Linked DNA regions of Caenorhabditis elegans. The protein of the gene in region 2 interacts with the protein of the main gene of each other region in a pairwise test. Each region holds a gene or a part of one and is shown on either strand. Other genes may lie near its edges. The genes, in order: daf-3 and fath-1.

What was found.
Region 1: the proteins of fath-1 (region 2) and daf-3 interact in a two-hybrid assay, tested with the Caenorhabditis elegans proteins (one study listed by BioGRID).

The regions. Positions count from the first base shown.
Region 1 is NC_003284.9:819,388-827,434, reverse strand, and holds the start of daf-3 (Smad protein daf-3), read left to right. Parts: upstream 1-2,008; coding exon 2,009-2,033; intron 2,034-2,172; coding exon 2,173-2,361; intron 2,362-3,265; coding exon 3,266-3,367; intron 3,368-3,588; exon of another isoform or gene 3,589-3,593; coding exon of another isoform or gene 3,594-3,621; coding exon 3,622-3,777; intron 3,778-3,824; coding exon 3,825-3,976; intron 3,977-4,022; coding exon 4,023-4,262; intron 4,263-4,456; coding exon 4,457-4,591; intron 4,592-4,743; coding exon of another isoform or gene 4,744-4,752; coding exon 4,753-5,413; intron 5,414-6,703; coding exon 6,704-6,834; intron 6,835-7,013; coding exon 7,014-7,135; intron 7,136-7,179; coding exon 7,180-7,232; intron 7,233-7,564; coding exon 7,565-7,736; intron 7,737-7,939; coding exon 7,940-8,047. UniProt on the Caenorhabditis elegans protein: Transcriptional regulator and common SMAD (co-SMAD), required to regulate entry into a developmentally arrested larval state known as dauer, in response to harsh environmental conditions.
Region 2 is NC_003279.8:10,174,929-10,179,442, reverse strand, and holds fath-1 (Fatty acid 2-hydroxylase), read right to left. Parts: upstream 2,263-4,514; 5' UTR 2,255-2,262; coding exon 2,153-2,254; intron 2,101-2,152; coding exon 1,966-2,100; intron 1,918-1,965; coding exon 1,814-1,917; intron 1,767-1,813; coding exon 1,380-1,766; intron 1,332-1,379; coding exon 1,174-1,331; intron 934-1,173; coding exon 869-933; 3' UTR 528-868; downstream 1-527. Other genes in the region: C25A1.16 (uncharacterized protein), read right to left, coding at 1-76, 125-205; nola-3 (Putative H/ACA ribonucleoprotein complex subunit 3), read right to left, coding at 207-401.

The DNA.
Region 1 (8,047 bases), on a different chromosome or scaffold from region 2:
ATCAGATTTTTGTTATAAATTAATGAATAGTTTTTAAATCCCCATTTCTTAAAGAAAATTTTATGAATGCTCCACATATCTTATATGCCTCTGTAAACATTTTAAAATTCCGTGTTCACAAGTTTAGAGTACAAGAAAAGTGTCTTCAATAAAAATTGAACTTTTTGTTTCTGCTGTGATATCTTTCACGATAAAATCTTTTGAAAAACCATCGCTTTTATAGTACTAGAGGTGTTAATAATTGACGGTTTCAAGGCTAAGATCACGCGATTCTTTAGTTGAATTTGTTTTTTGATTGTTTGGACTGTGAGATTGTAATTTTTTTAATCTTGTAAGTTTTTGTGCAATGAAAAATGCCTTAACGACTTTCATATAAATTTCTCTTATTCCTCTTGTTTAAAATGTCTACCACAAATTTTTAACAGTTATAACTAAATTGGGCAAAATTTGTTATTTCAACTTTACAAAAAAAATTTAACTTTTTTTGAATACTCTCTGTAGACGCGGTTTTTTTTTCAGAATTATGGTGGCCACCTTTTCAATAAAAAAAAATTATCTGAAAAATGCCATGGTCTCTCTGACCTTCGGCCCACATTGTATCTACGGATTTCATTCAAATATTTGCGGTTTTTTTTGACCGCTTGATCAAACTAATGAACTTTCATCAATGCAAACAAAATTTTTTCGCCAAAAGCAAATGACTAGCCAACTTTTTTTTTCTGTTTATGTTCAAATAGTTCAGTGGTTTCTTGTTAATTAATTATGACACAGTTTTGGTCACAAAATTTGAGCGTTTTTTTCGCTGAAACAATTGCACAAATCTAATACAAAACATTCTGATATCACACGCATCAATTTGGCGAGATTTCAAAAAATCAAACTGAGATGAGACCAGTGAAAACAAAAAATATATATGAGTCATCTAGAAAGTGATCTATACATTTTGTAGATCTTTTTTTAAAAATTGTGATGTTTGAGTACTTACAATGTAGGTCTACCACTTATTTTTTCTAGTTAGCTCACTATTTTATGCTTAGCATAGGTCAAACTACCCTTATAAAAAAAAACAATTATTTAGGTAAAAACGCTTGAAGTTCTTTTTTTCCTTTGTTTTGCACGAGAGGTTTTTTGTAAGTTTCTTATCAATCTCTTTTTTCAGTAAAAAAAGATCAAAACATCAAACCGAGGTCATGTGCACTCTCTTGTAGCTCTCTACTTGTTCCCTCATTATCTTATTCCCCCCGTCTTCTCACTTGTTGGTCCAACTACGCTCAACTTATCGATTCTTTGCAGCGAGCACTGCCACCTCAACACACTTTTAGCAATGAAATAGTGTGCTGGGCGAAGAGACGCAGACACACGTACGTAGTTTAAGAGTGAGCGAGATAGAGTGTGCGTAACGAGAAAAAGAGATAGAAGACGAAGAAACAAGTAGTGGTTTGGTTTCGATCTTTTTTTTTTAATTTGGGATATTTTTATTTTTATTTTCGAATTGTCAATTATTATTATTAATAGACTGTCAAAAATTACTTTTAATACCCCGTATTTGAACACGTTCTTTTTTTTATTTCTCTTAAATTGATTCCAAACAAGTTCCTATTAACACAATTCTTTTCAATTTTCTTTTCGAAATCATAATATTTTTTAAAAGTTAAATCTGTGGTTTTTTGGTTTTCCTTTCTGAATATGTTTTTACTGAAAACACCAAAAAATCTTGACAGTAGCTCAAAATATCAAGCTTTACAATTAAAGTTTTTCTCAACTTTTTTTTTCCCCTATAAACACAATCTCCCTTTATTCCCAAAAATACCACGAAACATGATATTTCAAAAAAAAAAGACAAACAGGTTTATACCACAGTTTGTACCTTTTATTGTCCATGCTGGTATTGTATTTCCTACTTCTTTGCCGCCCGGTTTTTCCTTGTTGTTTTAATTTTATTCCAAAACTCAATTTTACAGGTAATCAAATTGTAAAGGAAAAATATTAATAGTCAGAGTACACATAAATGGGTGATCATCATAATTTAACGGGTGAGTTTTTGTTTTATTGAAATTACTTTATTTTCGGAATGTTATTTAAAAAAAAGTTACAGTTTGAATAAAAAAACAGGATCTTCTGTTTCAGTTTTGAAAAAAAAACCAATTCCATAGTCCATATCCCAACTTACAGGCCTTCCCGGTACCTCCATCCCGCCACAGTTCAACTATTCTCAGCCCGGTACCAGCACCGGAGGGCCGCTTTATGGTGGAAAACCTTCTCATGGATTGGAAGATATTCCTGATGTAGAGGAATATGAGAGGAACCTGCTCGGGGCTGGAGCAGGTTTTAATCTGCTCAATGTAGGAAATATGGCTAATGGTGAGTTTAAATAGTAGCTATAGGAGTGAAGTGTTTGGAGTGTCGTGTTGGATATAAAATATCAATTAAAATAGATTCGAATTATTCAGAAAATCGCTTATTTTGGTAGTAGAACAAATGTTGATAAGTTAACAGACATCTTCTTTTTCCAATTAGTCTTGCACCCGAAGTGACTAGTTGGAAAATAGCCTTGCAGTTTCTATTAATTTTGTACATACTAATCTAGTACATTTCTAGAGAAAATTTTAGTATTTTAAGGTGGCAACGAGTAGTGCGGAACTCAAAATTCTCTTACATTCTCTTATATCTACTTACATTGAAAATTAATTTTGCACTCAAAAAATACCAAATAAAAAATAGGGTACTTGTTCCCGCTATTTTTGAAATTAATCAATTTTTCATTAATTTATCTATTTAAATTAAACTTGATATCTATTTTCTTCGTTGGGCTCAGGAATGGTAAATACGAGTTTTATAAGTTTTTATTTTATAAGTTAAAAAATTAATTTCTAAAATAGCGGAAGCATAATACACAAGTACCAAAAATAGTTATACATGCAATTTTGTCCATAGAATACTCTGAAACAACCTTGGTATTAGCTGCAAAACTGCAACATTATCAATTTAAAAAGGTATTTCTAATTGCAAATAAAATCGTAGCATTTCTAACAGTTGCCTAATTCTCGCTTTCTATTTTCAAATTTCAATTTTTTTTAAACTTTCAAGTAATGCAAACTCTGTAAAACACTGAAATCTAGTGAAAACCAAATCAATTTCCCTACGTGATTAGTAGTCGTGGTGTATGGTGGTTTGTGTTGGTTTGATATGCTTATTTTCCTTTTTGTTTTAAAAACCTTCCCCGTTTTGTTGCTTTTTAAATTTTACATTTCAAACTGAAATTCAGAATTTAAACCAATAATCACATTGGACACGAAACCACCTCGTGATGCCAACAAGTCATTGGCATTCAATGGCGGGTTGAAGCTAATCACTCCGAAAACTGAAGGTAAATAACGTCGAACATAGTAGTATAGCTTGAAAATAAAAAAAAACGTTGAATATGATGCATAAATGGTGCAATAGAAGGTTCAAAAGAATTTGTTGCCAACAAAAAATCTAAAATTTCAACACGAACCTCATGATGTTTACCGTCTGGCAGTCACTAACACACGTATTGATAAGCGAATTGTTGCCAAATTTCGTTGCTTATCAAACCTTATTTCTCTCTGACCATGAAGCTAATAGCAACTTCTCTTCTAGTTCCCGACGAGCACACACCGATGATGTCACCAGTGAATACAACTACAAAGATTCTACAACGGAGTGGTATTAAAATGGAAATCCCGCCATATTTGGATCCAGACAGTCAGGATGATGACCCGGAAGATGGTGTCAACTACCCGGATCCAGATTTATGTAAGTGGCAAAAAAAGTGTGAGCAAAAGAACTTAATATATTTTCAGTTGACACAAAAAACACAAATATGACCGAGTACGATTTGGATGTGTTGAAGCTTGGAAAACCAGCAGTAGATGAAGCACGGAAAAAGATCGAAGTTCCCGACGCTAGTGCGCCGCCAAACAAAATTGTAGAATATTTGATGTATTATAGAACGGTAAATACTTAAGTTTGTAGTACTGATTACAATATTGCATTTTCAGTTAAAAGAAAGTGAACTCATACAACTGAATGCGTATCGGACAAAACGAAATCGATTATCGTTGAACTTGGTCAAAAACAATATTGATCGAGAGTTCGACCAAAAAGCTTGCGAGTCCCTGGTGAAAAAATTGAAGGATAAGAAGAATGATCTCCAGAACCTGATTGATGTGGTTCTTTCAAAAGGTACAAAATATACCGGTTGCATTACAATTCCAAGGACACTTGATGGCCGGTTACAGGTGAGATCAAAAAAAATTTCTAGGACACATTTTGAGCCTATAGACATTAAATTATGATCTTTCAACGAACCTACGCTAGATAAATGATCCGACTTTTAAAAGTTTTGGAATTTATTTTGAGACGTTTCATTATGAAACTTGTATTAGACCAGCTTATGATATCAAAGTACCCACAAACTCCATACAAATTACAGGTCCACGGAAGAAAAGGTTTCCCTCACGTAGTCTATGGCAAACTGTGGAGGTTTAATGAAATGACAAAAAACGAAACGCGTCATGTGGACCACTGCAAGCACGCATTTGAAATGAAAAGTGACATGGTAGGTGAAGTAAGTGTGAATTGTTTCATTTTTCCTTTGATGTGATGTGGCACATGTTAGCTTCTTCCCTTATTCGGTTAACTCTGTGACCTTTGTTTGATTAAGTTGATTGCCTAATGTTGAGAAGATGTGACTTTTAAAAGTTTTAATATGAATATTAGGCCTTACAGGTATGCGTGAATCCCTATCACTACGAAATTGTCATTGGAACTATGATTGTTGGGCAGAGGGATCATGACAATCGAGATATGCCGCCGCCACATCAACGCTACCACACTCCAGGTCGGCAGGATCCAGTTGACGATATGAGTAGATTTATACCACCAGCTTCCATTCGTCCGCCTCCGATGAACATGCACACAAGGCCTCAGCCTATGCCTCAACAATTGCCTTCAGTTGGCGCAACGTTTGCCCATCCTCTCCCACATCAGGCGCCACATAACCCAGGGGTTTCACATCCGTACTCCATTGCTCCACAGACCCATTACCCGTTGAACATGAACCCAATTCCGCAAATGCCGCAAATGCCACAAATGCCACCACCTCTCCATCAGGGATATGGAATGAATGGGCCGAGTTGCTCTTCAGAAAACAACAATCCATTCCACCAAAATCACCATTATAATGATATTAGCCATCCAAATCACTATTCCTACGACTGTGGTCCGAACTTGTACGGGTTTCCAACTCCTTATCCGGATTTTCACCATCCTTTCAATCAGCAACCACACCAGCCGCCACAACTATCACAAAACCATACGTCCCAACAAGGCAGTCATCAACCAGGGCACCAAGGTCAGGTACCGAATGATCCACCAATTTCAAGACCAGGTACGTATGATTTAAAAAAAAAACAGTTGTTGTAAGGAGAAAAAGTTATTCTGACAGTAGGCATGAGGGTTGAACTAGAGGGACGCCGCAATTGCAAGAATTGTCGATTGCCGAAAATTTCCGACTTTGAACGGATGTCGGCAGGATGTGCCGGTCCGCTGTCAGGGTGGGCGGCAATTGCCGTTTGGCAATTTTTTTTGTCCACAAATTCAGCAAATCGCCGGAAATTTTCGATTCCGGCAATTAGCCGGTTTGCCGATTTGACGGAAATTTTAATTGAAGCAATTTGCCGATTTGCCGATTTGGCTGAAAAAATCGTTTGCCGCTCACCCCTGGTTTGGTGTTCCAGCCGAGAGCTAATAATTTTAGTCACTCAGCCACACAATACTGCCACCTATCAAGGCATGGATTTACAAAGGTTTAATATCTCCAGGTGTCAAACCAGAAACGGCAAAATATTATTTATGGGTACCTCATTATATAAAGGGGTAGAATATAAGTAGGCGGACAGGTGCATAGCCAATTCCCGCAGTTTAATCCTTTTTGGGATGTCCATTAACAGAGCCTTATTTGAATTTTTCTATTGGATTTTCGCCCTTTTCCGATGAAAACGAAGCGTTTTCAAACTTCACTAAAAGTGCAGCTTTTACAATTTTGACTAAATTGCTCTAGAATTAAGTATGAAAAAATTTTATGAATAGTATTGAGAGTTCATATTCTTTCGCAAAATAATCAAGAAATCTCTGCAGGAAATTTAATGTTAAGTTTAATCCTTATACATAAATTCTAATATAAGTACTTGATAATAACGAGAAAGGATGAAGCCCCTCAAATATTTGCCTTTTAAATTTGCACGTAGGTTTGAAAAGGCATCAATTTTGCAAATTTTTTTTTCGATAAACATTTTGCAGTTTTTTTATTTTAGATCTCATCAAAATATCTTCTTCTGGTAGACACATGTAATTTATTTGAAATTGATTGGAAAATGCCAACTTACAACATTTTGAAAAGGTGTCCTGCCAATTTCATATCAGTTATCAGATTTATTTTCTAAAAAAATAGCCAAGTTGAGACCACGAGGCGTATGATTATAGTTGTATAGTCGGTGATTTATTGCATAAAGAAGTTGGTTTAAAAGCAGTGATTTTGATTCTCAAAACTCATTTTTTTAGAGATTTTCTACAGCCGCTTTGCGAACAATTTTACTTTTCATCATACATGATACATTTTTTTGTCGCCTTTTCAGTTCATTCCTAAAATTTGTAAAACTTGAAGTAAACTCAATTACAGTGTTACAACCATCAACAGTCACCTTGGACGTGTTCCGTCGGTACTGTAGACAGACATTTGGAAATCGATTTTTTGAAGGAGAAAGTGAACAATCCGGCGCAATAATTCGGTCTAGTAACAAATTCATTGAAGTAAGTATTTCTAATATGTAGCTACTATGTACGTGTCACTCAAGATTGACAGCTTATCGCATATAAGTTGTGTCGATAAGGTGCCAAACAAAATATTGAATTTAATGTCACTTTTTGCTTTCTGAATCATCAAACAAACGATTTTTGTTTTTCATTCAAGAATATTGTGTTTTTTCTAGGAATTTGATTCGCCGATTTGTGGTGTGACAGTTGTTCGACCGCGGATGACAGACGGTGAGGTTTTGGAGAACATCATGCCGGAAGATGCACCATATCATGACATTTGCAAGTTCATTTTGAGGTTCGTTCTAGTTTTCATGGAATTAAAAGCCAAGTATTTTTTAGGCTCACATCAGAAAGTGTAACTTTCTCAGGAGAGGGGCCAGAAGTTAGTGATTGTAAGTTTCTTTTTTTTCTCTCTAAAGTTCACTTTAAAAAATCGTGTTAGTGATTGAAAACAAAATGAGTAATTATGTATTATACCCCGCCAACATAAAATTAAATTAAATTTTCATTCATAACTTTATTTAAATTAAACGTGATATGGATTATCTTCTTCAGATTTAGAAATGGTTATCATCAAGAAATCTTCCACACGTTTTCATGCTTTATTTCTTAAAAACTTTCATTTAAAACGACGGGGATATAATACATAAATACCCAAAAATGTAAAAGATCAAGTAAATTTAAAATGTTCACAACATAAAAAAAAACTGCTTGCTTTTTTCAGTGAACGAAAAATGGGGAACAATTGTGTACTATGAGAAAAATTTGCAAATTGGCGAGAAAAAATGTTCGAGAGGAAATTTCCACGTGGATGGCGGATTCATTTGCTCTGAGAATCGTTACAGTCTCGGACTTGAGCCAAATCCAATTAGAGAACCAGTGGCGTTTAAAGTTCGGTAAGTAAATCTGAAACTTATTGATATATTATAGAACATAGGTACAATTTTTTTTACAATCCAATTTTTTGGGCAATGACAGTATCAGGGTAACAATCCAATCCAAATTCGGAAATGTTGTTCGATAGTTTCCAGCTTATGAATTTTCTAACTAAAGAAATAACACAAATTTTTAAAGCTTTTGAACCATTGAAATGTTTCAGTAAAGCAATAGTGGATGGAATTCGCTTTTCCTACAAAAAAGACGGGAGTGTTTGGCTTCAAAACCGCATGAAGTACCCGGTATTTGTCACTTCTGGGTATCTCGACGA
Region 2 (4,514 bases):
CGTTGAGAGTATAACCAAAAGCTTTCCATCCAACGAAGAAAAGAACAAAAGAGACGATGATACGACGACGAGACACCTGAAATTATAAAATATCGTTTGGAAAAATGCGAGATTTGTAAATTACCTGTTGATAATTGATAGGTTTATTGGGGGTGAAAGAGCGGATTTTTTGCCGCAACATGCGGCGCCACTCCCAAACCAGCATTTTAGCAAACGGTCTTTGCCTTCTGGGTTGGCAAGAGTCCGAAGCGCTTCTTGATGATGATGCGATATTTGGAGTTCTTGTCTTCCGGCGAAAAGCGAGCTGGATGAGCGGTAAGAGTTTGCTCTCCAGATGGAGCAGTTCTCTTCAAAGTGTACACTCTTTGTTGGTTCTCGTCCAAGAAGTATCTCAAGAACATTGTCCGTTGAAAGTAGACTGAGTTCTGAAACTATCAATGATTTCTAAAACTTCTGAAACTATAGAGAAATATGAAATAAATACGGCGCATTGCAACGAAAAAAAGAATTAGCGAGAAAGAATGAAGGGGTGATTTCATTAGATATTTTTAAAAATTATTCCAAATTTCACGCATAACAGAAAGAAAACAAAACAAGAAGGAATATCACAAAATGTTTGATGGAAACCGGTAAGAAGTGAGGATAATAGGCACGTGCTGAGTAGCTGATCTATATAGATAAAATGTGAAAACAAGTTGAACTAATCTGGCGTACGAGAAAAGAAAAGGTAAATCGATAAATATATATGTACAACGGGTATAGTGGATCGTGAGAAAAGTGAATCGGGACAAGAGACTTAGAGATAAAAAACGTGAGGCAGAGTTCACTCAATAAACAACAAATTTTCCGAAAAAACATCTATGTATTATTATAATGGGCCCATTCCGAGTGTGTGGAAAACATAATCCCAAAGAGAAGTCGAAATTCCGAAGCCTGAAAAATGAAAATAGGCCTGAAATAGGGAAAATGATAGAAAAATTTCGATTGCGAAAATGAAAGTGCAAACGCGCTCCATCGCAAATCTGTGTAATTTTCCGTCAGAGAACATTATATTTCACGACAATTTGCAGATTATAGAAAATCTCAATTAAAAAACAGTTTTTAATGTTCTTGACTTAAAAATAACAAATTAAAAATTGATTTTTAAACAAAATCCCGTTAAATGTAACTTACCGACGTCAAAGTTTTTGAAGTGGTGATTATGATGATATACTTTTCTAAAATGTAAATTGCTGCGTGGACGAGGACTTCCGTGATGTAAATAATAGTGTACCATATCGTAGGTTACATATCCAAATAACTTTCCAGCGCCAAACGCGCAAAACACTGGCCTAAAACGATTAACTGAATATGGGAACCAGGAAAGGTTTAATACTGACCATTGGAAGGTATTGGAGTAGATTAAATAGAAAATTCCAACAATCAAAGTAGCTGGAACCGGAGGGAACACAAGGCGGTCTCCGTCCATCGGTGTTTTATGGTGAAGTCCATGAGCCAAGAAATGAAGAAGAATCTGATTCGGCGAATCTGGAGACGGCTTCCAATGGAAAACCCATCGATGAAGACTGTATTCAGTGAGAGTCCATGTCAAAACTCCAATGACGAACCAGGCAGACCACAGGAGAATCGAGTTATAAACATCGGTGGATGTTGAAAATGAGAGCACTGAGAGGATAGAAAAAGTAATGACGATCGGCATCCAAACAGCAGGGACCACCCACCAAGCTGTTCTTGTCATGCTTTCCAACACATCCGAATCGAAAAGTCTGAAAAAAAGTGAAAATTTGCATTGAAAAGTCGAGATCATCAATACCTTAAAGTTCCATCATATGGTTGATGAATCCAATGCCAATATTCAGAGCCAAGAGATCCAACTTTGAAAAGCATTCCGGATTTAGACTCAATCAATGGATCACCCTAGAATTTTAGAAATATTAATAATTAGATTTGATGGAAGGAACGAACTTTTTGAATTGCATTCACATTATATCTCTCGAGCATATTATAAGCGGCTTCCGAGTGCTCATGACGTACACCCATTATCCTTTTTTCTCCTCTGATAAATTCTCCAATTTCTTCTCCAGCCAAACGATTCAGAACCTATAAAAAGTTTGAGATTAGTAAAATATCCTAAAACTTGAAAAAAAGTTACCTTGGCACCTCCCGGATGTTTAGGCGCAAAATCAGCAATGTCATAATATTGCCCGTCGAGTTGTACTAGCAACGGCTTCTTCTCATCTGCTCCTATCCCCATATTTTCCACTGAAATATAGAAAATTATAAATTACGAAACGTTATAAATATAGAAAATATGAAACGGGGAAAGCAATATGATCATGATCTCATAGTAGAAAAATAAGTAGCAAAAGGAAATGAGCACATTCACCAGAAAACGTCATTTTCCGGTCAAGAAAAGCAGCCATATGAATTGAGGTTAGGGTATATTATGGGGACGCAGAAAAAATACCTATTCAAATTGAAGTGCAAAGCGCGCCGCCTCCGGGCCATGGGTCTCGGTAGGAAGTTGGCGGCAGAACTCATTAATTCAGACGTTTTTCAATTAGTTTCATATTAAAAAATTTTTGTTATGTTTTAAGTTGATTTTAAAGATTTCTTGTTTAAGAAATTAATGTTGTTTCATTTGACTAAAAATTCATGTCAGAATTTCAGCATCAAAATCTTTAAAAACAACATAATAAAAAAACGAAAAACACTATTAAAACGTTTCGATTGAAGGTTTTTCCGTCAAATACCTAACGAGACCCATGGTTTGGGGGCGGAGCGTATCATGTTTCTGCGTCCTCATAATATCACGAGTGAAGGAGCTGTTCGAATCAAAAAAGGTATAACGAGATTGCAGAATGGATTGTTTTTCAGTATTCACCTGCTTCAGAAAAGTGATGATTGATAGCTGGAAATACTTGAAAACAACTGAAAATAGAATAAAAATCTCTGCTACATTGCTATATTGAATAATTTCTCTCTCTCTCTGAGTCGGAGCAGGAAATGCACGTAGGTTCTCATTTAATTAGGTAAATCAACACCGAAAGAAAAGGGAAGCAAGTAGACGAAACGGGAAAACATAGTATTACATGAATTCTGCAAGGGATTCAGAGCACATACATATAATAGCATAGGAGAGAGCCGACACAAGAGAGGTGGGTGGTGGAGCAGGAGATGAAGGTGAAGGGTTTCTGAGCAAATTTGAAACATGTGCATTGGACATCAAATGTGTAATTTTGATATGTTGCACTTGGTCTTTGTGTTGGCCTGAGTCTAGTTAAAAACATTGGAACAATTGAGACATATCTGCCTCAAGTAATCATAGTTTCTGAGCTTCGAAATTTCTCGGTTTAATATAATTTAATTTAGAAATCTTGCAGCAGTTAAAATACGAGTTAAAATATATGAAAACACAAGTTTTGGAACTACCACAACTACGATTATATAGAAGACTGAAGAGTTTTCTGGCAAACAAACTGTCATTTTCCCACGATTTTCCTAGTTTTTCTAGACACAAATCGGGCACAATTGTGCCCGTTGGTACGAATACTTAATGAAAAATGTGCCATCTCAAATAAACCGAGCCTTTATAAATATATATTTGCAAATTGTGTGAGCCTTTTCCTATTTAAGCGGAGATGGCAGACGCTGAGGATGAAATATTCAAAAATTGTCCAGGATGTCATTCTGGAGCATTTAAATATTTTTGTAATTTTTAAGGATGTTAGTGTGGAATCTGAAGAGTTAATCTATATGGAAGGTGATGGAAGTTTGATTTAAAGTATCATAGCACCCGGGTTAAAAGAGTAGAGATTGAAAGAGCAAACTAGAGCAAGTGACCTAATTGAATTGAATTCAACGAGATAAAATGTGCGGAATGAGAGTGCGAGCCTATGTATGTGCACGGGCTCTTCGTCAGAAACGGGGGCAAACAATGGGGTTGAATATTTTGCCACCCCGTCTATCGTCCATCCTTCCTCTCCCGTCAGTCAGTTCGATGAAATGGAAAACGGGGGAGGAAAGGGGCGTGGCGGGAAAGGAAGGAAGGAAAGAAGAGGCTCATGCAATTTCCAAAATTGCGAGGAGTGCGGAGCCGGCGGCGGCGTGTGCTCCTCCAGCTCAAGAGAGGCTTTTAAGCTTCTCTGGGCGACGGAAGGAAAACACTGAGCGCGCGGGAAACGAGACGAGAACTTTGTAACCATTGACAAACATACACAAAAGAATGGACTTGGACTCTTGGAGCCATGCAGTTAAACCATAGAAACCACCGCATTGTCTTCTTATTTTCAAAGAGTAAGAAGGAAACTCATTCGACGGGAAACTAATTTAGTTGAGAAGAATACGACGCGGCGTCGAAGAAAAGGAAAAAAAAAGAAACGCGAAATTGAAAATGTTTGCTTCAAGAAAGGCATAAAATGAGTCAGAGTGTCACTCATATATTGCGTCTGAACATATAAAACCTGCCTAGCCATTATATGATGATAAGCCGGCGCCGTGTTAGTTTCGTAAAA